Arabidopsis thaliana: one gene and its partner. The protein of the gene in region 1 interacts with the protein of each later gene in a pairwise test. Each region holds a gene or a part of one and is shown on either strand. Other genes may lie near its edges. The genes, in order: AT1G72350 and AT5G55690.

Region 1 (3,318 bases):
TAGTTTTTCTGCTTCGTCTTCCGATTTAGATCAGTTTCCGCCAGTTGGCCCAGTTCTCCGGTAACCAGTTTCCGATCCTGGTATCAACACCGTTAACTTTAAACAATCTTATCTATTGAAGTAGCCATTTATTACTCTTTTGCCTAGAGACTATAAACATGTACAACATACCTAATCCTCAGTCCTCGTGGTTCCAATTTTTGTGACATGATTTGATTTCGAATTGTGTGTGGAATATAGTTCTAATAAGAACCTCTAAAGGATCAACATCACCATGACCAGATTCCGATCCTCAAGCCCTCATTATTACGACCATTGACAATTCGTAGACAAGCTAACCTCCTCAAGTGTAGCCAATGGTTGGGGAAAATATTACATCATTTTTATATAAAAAGAAACTGTTGGAGAAAATATCCTAACAGTTTCAAGAAAATAAACAAGAAAGACAAAAACACAAGCTCATAAAATAAAACCAGTATTATTAATAAGCTAACTCCACAGTTAAGAAAAGGGAAATATGAATTTCAATTTCGGAATACAATTTTTTTTTTTCAATCTTAAACTTGAAAGCATTAGTTAATTTAGGTAAACGAATTAAAAAAATAGTTTAGATCAACCTATAATCTATATGTAATAACACCAAACTGTAATAATAAATTAAAGAAAAAACACCTCACTGTCTACCGTTTTGAGGCATAAACGCAAACTCCAAATCACCATTGTTACCTCCATAACCTCGATCGTTCCTAGCCATCAGATTTTCATTCGTTAATTTCCAGTCAGCCATAGCCATCTCATTTGGAAATGCCGGAAGATTCTCAACCGTCCGATCACCACTCATCTGGTAGATCCTCGTCAACAAATTCTCCCTTAACACACTCAAGGCATTCTTGTACTCTTCCATATGCTCCTCCGGCACACTCTCCACCGCTCTCTCCCACCACATCAAACCGTCGTTATCTTCCTCTCCGTTTGCCACGTTACCACCGGGATGTGACCTCAGCATCACCGGAGCCTTACGCAAGTATTTATCGATGAGTGAGTTCACGTTACCAAACGAGTAGATCCTATCGCAACGTGAAAACGTTATGATACCAATCTGTGCGCCGCAGAGAACGCTTAATTCTGCCGCTTTTTTGAAAAGCCCGGATCGTCGTTTGGAAAACGTCACTTGCCTTCGGGTCTCCAGCATGATCTCCTTGATCTCTATCTTCTGTCGACCTTTGGTGGTTTTAGGTTTTTTTTGTTTAGTCTCTTTTTTTGGTTTGGCCAGCAAGTTAGGGTTTTGTAGGGGTTTTGGTTCCGTGGTTGGTAAGAAAGTGATTGTTGAAGCTTCCCCATCCTCCATATTGAAGACAAGAAGAACAAGAGATTTTTGTGAGAGATTACAAGGGTTCTTTGGGAGAAATATTCCGAATTATATTTATATTCATAGTTTTGAACCATATAAGGAATTATTGTCTCATCATAATATATGCTAATTGTGGTATTAAATGCGCGTCTCAATAAGTTAACATGATATTTGGAATGATTCCATAAACAATCAACATTAACTTTTTTTAATCTAAGTTTCGTGACATTATTTCAAAGATTTACGAGATATACTTACTCCTTTCTTTTCTTTTTGGACAAACAAGATGCTTACTCCTCTCTATTTTACATTTTTGTTATATATAAAATATAAAAAAAAACTAATGATGATGCTAATATATGTGGGTCTCATATACGAATAATATATGATCAAATCAAATATATATATATGCATATGAGCATATGGATGTTAATGTTATTGTCAAAGAAAACACTGGCCTTAGTATAGTTGAAATTACAAAGTATAGTTGCCACATGAAAGGTTCCTCGTGGCCATTGCGAATATTTAATTCCTTTAAAATTATTTTATTCTTTTCCATTTAATATATCAATTAGTCTTTAATTAATTAACCACTCCACAAAGGTTCAAAGTAAGGTTGATAGATTAGTTTAGATTTGAAAAATGGTTAGTGGAGAAAACCACGGGTTCATTAGTCAGTATTAGAGACTGCTTATGGTTTCAAATTAAAAGCTATACCCCTAAAGGTAGGATAACAACTACTATTACAAATTAATTAATTTTTGTTAAATCTATATATACATTTTTGCAGCCATTTTGTTAAATAAATCCTGTAGTTGAGATTTATTTACAATGGTTGTCACTGGATTTTAATGTTTGTTTTTGATAATTAAAAAGAAAATCTTCGAATTAAATATTTGACATTTAACAATCTTCCCAAAATCTCTCCACATTAACTACACGATTATTTACTAAAATAATACTTCTAAAATATTTAATATCATTTAATTACTACAAAATTATCATTTTTGATATTGCTTTTCTCCATGACTATAACAATTCGATTATAATCATCAAAGCGCAGAGATATAATCTGATAGCATTTAATTACTACAAAATTACAAAATATTTAGACAATGATTCATAAACATATCATAAATAAGATCAACATTAATAAAATAAATGGGTTTATTTTTACAGGACGGGTTTGGAAGGACGTTACTTAATAACATTTGTAAACTATAAAATAAAATTATTTTATAGATAAATACAATTTATAAACTTTTATATATACTAACTTTAAAAAATAAATTATTCCCGCGATATACCGCGGGTTAAAATCTAGTGTATATATCAAGTTGTAGCAAAACCAGCTGTTGGTATAGTTTTTTCATTAAAGTTGTTCCATAAAGGTTTTAACTAATCACCGTGACGACTAAACACATTGGTTAAAAGTTAAAACCCATGTCGATTTATTGACTCTTGAAAGGTGAATAAGCCAACCATTACTATAGGTATAGGTTTTTATTTTTATTTATCTTATGCCAAAAATCCAAAACGACTAGTATGACGCAGTAAACTGGGTAGATATAAGAATCATGGTCATTAAAACTCAAATATACGATTCACTTAATGTAAGATATGATTAAAGATAAGAATGGATTAACCCCCAAGTAAAGCGATAAGATCGAATATATTAAGTTCATAAACTCAGCTAAATGCAGATCATTACAGACAGTGGCGAAATCATTTAAAAAGGGATTAACCTATGATGAGGATAAAATGGTAAAATTAACAAAGCCCACTTGGCCCAATTGTCGTTCCGAAGAACACGCCTTGTCGCTCTGCGTATAAGAGTGTGCTCAGGCAAAAATGAAAGAACAAAAACACAGAGACACCTTTAAAATTGAGAAATTTTACTTTTTAGCCCAAAACTTTTAAAACTTATACTTTGAACCCTTTAGTTCTGAGAAAATGTGCGGAGGAGC
Region 2 (4,084 bases), on another chromosome or scaffold:
AAATCACTTAATTCCAATCCAATTTCACTCGCAGACAACTAATTTCTTCCCCAAATTGATTCCACTAACGAAAATGATGTAATCGATTTCCATTTTTCATGAATTTAACAGCGAGAGCGAAACTAATTACCTAAAGATTCGGCTGTTCCCGGCGACGGAACGCAACTTAGTGATGAAACGACCGCGTTTGAAAGGAGGAATCATAGAAACGCTTCGGAAAAAGTTACGATTACGCTTTGTACTCTGCTCGAGGAAACAAGATTTCAAAGAAAATCCTCCGGGATGGAAGAAATTGCCGCCGGTGACTCCGCGACAGCCACATCCGATTACTCCAGTCTCCGTCATTTTCGTTTCTTCTCCTTCGTCGGAGATATTTCTCAGATGGTTTTAGATGCGGAGGAAAAGAGACGGAGATGGAGTACTTGAAACGCAAAATTCTATTTCTCTTTTTCTTTTCTTTTTAACGACCCAAAATTTATTTGGGGCTTTTCTGATATATATACTGAATTTTTAAATCAAGAAAATTATCAACTTTATAATTCCTTCTTGACCCTATACTTTTTCCTTTATTGCCTTTATTTTCTATTTTTTGCCCGTATGTTTTAAATATTTCTATAATTGACCCCAACTTTCGTTCTCTACTATATACCTCGTGCCTACAATATTTAATTATTTATAGGAGTATAGGTGTTTTTATGAAACAAATCAGTGAAATTATCAAAACTAATTAACGTTTTACTTGTTGAAGTTCAGGAGATGATTGAGATTACATTTATTTTATTATAAAAATCAGAGTTGATTTTTTCAAACTGGTGTTTAATGTGTAACATGGAAACAAGTTTAAATTTCTATTATGACTGACTTATAATTGAATAATAAAACTATGAGGACTTGAATAGCATATAGTCAAACTAATTGTACTTTTAGATGGTAATTTTTTTATATGATATTAAATATCCATTGAATAAGGTTTTTTAACAAAGAAAATGGAATTAACCATTTTGCTGACGTGGAAACATATCGTCCCTTAGTGGATAAGCATGTAAAATATCCCATTAGAACATATCCCATGCTACTCGCCACCATCAACACTGCCTATTACCAATTATAGTAGTGAATTTGGCATATAAATAGTATACGAAAAATGTCTCACATATTTAAGTTAACCTATTATTTCCGTCTTCATTGTCATATAGTTTGATCAAATTAAATCATGGGTCCACGATATGTCACGTTTCAGTCTCGTAGTACTACTCATCAAGTGGCAAAACTTTGTTTATCACATATAGCTGATATTTATTCGAATGTGAAAGATAATAAAGGATAAAAAAACAAAATTTCAAAATACGCACTAAGTAATAATTGCATGGGACATTTTACAAGTTCTAGTCATTTTTTAGTTACATACCAGTGCGTATGAGCATATGGTGATTGGTGAAATTGTTAAATGTATATTTCAAAGGCTATGAATTACCGATCAATCGATCAACACCAACAGCTACTAGTAGTTTAAAATTTTATGAAACAAATTTATTATTTGTCGATGTCTCCTAGTATTATATTAAAATGAACTATCGAGTATCAGTACAAATAGTCATCACAGAAGTGTGACAAACTTACGACAACAAACTTTAATCTTTTTTCTAATTTCTATACAACCAAACTACCAAAGTGGCCATGAAGACCAATAAGAACATTGTTGCAACTTGCAAACGGAACCTCAGCCACCTCCGGCGCCAAATTTCCGTAAGAATATTAACAAAGTTTTCAATTAAAGCAAAAAAGGAATATTTGAGAAAATTAATTGGCACAAATCACAAACAAAATCTTCTTTCTTGATCATGCTGTAATTACAATGTTTTCCTTTAACTGAACTCTTATCACTTGTGCGTGAACATAGAAACTAAAGATTTGTATAGCTTCGTCCTCTTTAATTCTACTCGAAAACATGGAAAGAAATAAAATATCAGCATTGCTACCGTAATTTAGGGGAGGAAACAATATTCGAGAATAAACCATATATTCTTTACGACAAAAAAAAAAAAAAAAAACATATATTCTTTTTTTGCGTGTGTCTTATATAAACACAGAAAGAGGAACTCCATTGTTAAATCAAGAAACTTCAGAAAGTAGAGCTCTTAAAGAAGGTATTATATACATTCTTTTTTTCTTCTAGTAATCACTCTGCATTTACTTTATGTTAATATCCCATCTGTTTTACTATTCGTGTTAATCGTATATGGATTTGGAATTATGCATAGGAAGCTTGACAAAACGATAAGGATTATGCTTATTAGTGAAAAAATTGAGAATAAAATAATATGAATCTTTCTTCCCTATACATTTGTAAGGCTTACATTGCTATGAAATGTTAAAATGTAAACCTAAAAGCTATATGAGTTACAAATTTTTTATTGACAACAAAATGTTTACTAGTATTAGTGCTTTGGTTGTAAATTTGTAGTGTTTCTGTATGTTTTGGTAGCTGATCGTTACATCCAAATGATGATATTACTATTTCAATTTTCAAGATTATGATCTATTGTTGTGTTTTACTCTTTTATGGCTTTTTAGATTGAAGCAAAGGTATCTGGATGGGTCGAAAGATGGTAAAGATGACGAGGATAACGAACGAGAAAACGAGGATAACGACTTACAAGAAGAGGAAAGCATGTTTGTATAAGAAAGCCAGTGAGTTCTCAACACTCTGCGGTGTGGACACTTGTGTCATTGTGTACGGCCCGAGCAGAGCAGGGGACGAAATGGTCATGGAGCCCGAGTTATGGCCAAAGGATGGGAGCAAAGTCCGTGAAATCTTAACCAAGTACAGAGACACTGCGTCAAGCAGCTGCACCAAGACATACACCGTGCAAGAATGCTTGGAGAAAAACAACACTAAGGTGGAGAAACCGACGATTGCGACAAAGTATCCTACATGGGACAAAAAGCTCGACCAGTGTTCTTTAAATGACCTCTATGCGGTTTTCATGGCAGTAGAAAACAAGATCCAAGAGGCTACGAATAGGAATCAGACATTTCCTGACACTAGTTGTTGGTCTAATGACCAACTTGGTTTATGCGGTTACAATCGGCAATGTTTTGAGCAGTATCAGTTGTTTCCTCTGCCTACTATGGATTACAACGGGCTCTCTTTCTTCCCTTTTAATAACCAGATGACCTCAAATACTGCGGAAGTGTCTTCCTTCTCGAATGTGACAGAGCCGATGATAGCGAACGGGCAAAGCTTGTTTTACGGGAGTTGTTCGGATGGTCCATATGGTCCGATGGTACAGAGGACAGCTTATATGGAGCCAATACATTGGGGTTTAGGAAACAGTATGTTCAACAATGTGAAGCAGTTCCAAGATTATCCCTTCAGGTTTGCACAAGTTAATGATTTGGAGGATTCAAGTAAACTTTCTATGTGAGAAATGTCATTTGTTTCTTCCGTTTGAATGTTGCTTTATAAACTTCTTTTTATCAAGTTTCTATTAAGTTTGTTGATTTTTTTCATAGCTATATCATGGAATAAGAAAATGGTGTTTTTACGAAAACATATTGTACTAACAAATATAATCTACCAACATTAATATACTATAAAGTAATCAATACAAAACAAGTAAGTATCTTGTTCATTAGAATTACAAGATATACTGAAGAGTCTTCTTATAGTCTGACAAAAAGCTAGTTAGCTGGAAGAACCAAAGTGGCTACTAAGATCAAAAATATGCATAGGAGATCATGTTGAACGAATTTAGAAGCCGACTTGGCTCCGGCGGGAACCTCAGCAGTCTCTGGAGCCAGATTCGCCGTCGCTGGTGCAGAACTACTCACCGGACCTCGTCCGTAAGGAAATATGTCCGGCGTATTCGCTGGAGTTGATGGAATATCAGGGGTTGTTACTGGCGATGTTGCTGCGATATATGGAGCATCGGCGGAGACTGGTGGTTGGTTTGATGGGGTGGTGGCAGGCGATTCTATTGAGGTGGTGGGACTTATCATTGGAGCAGAGATTGGAGACTTCCCTGGAATTGTAGTGGGAGGGGATACAGGGGAAGTTGCAGGCGTAGAGACAGGAGTCGTG

The links.
Region 2: the proteins of AT1G72350 (region 1) and AT5G55690 interact in a two-hybrid assay, tested with the Arabidopsis thaliana proteins (one large-scale study listed by BioGRID).

What each region holds. Positions count from the first base shown.
Region 1 is NC_003070.9:27,238,600-27,241,917, forward strand, and holds AT1G72350 (MADS-box transcription factor family protein), read right to left. Parts: upstream 1,349-3,318; coding exon 674-1,348; downstream 1-673. Other genes in the region: ERF73 (Integrase-type DNA-binding superfamily protein), read left to right, coding at 3,305-3,318.
Region 2 is NC_003076.8:22,548,134-22,552,217, reverse strand, and holds AT5G55690 (MADS-box transcription factor family protein), read left to right. Parts: upstream 1-2,123; 5' UTR 2,124-2,147; intron 2,148-2,572; exon of another isoform or gene 2,573-2,574; 5' UTR 2,575-2,594; coding exon 2,595-3,428; 3' UTR 3,429-3,511; downstream 3,512-4,084. Other genes in the region: BAM4 (beta-amylase 4), read right to left, coding at 131-345; AT5G55680 (glycine-rich protein), read left to right, coding at 3,857-4,084.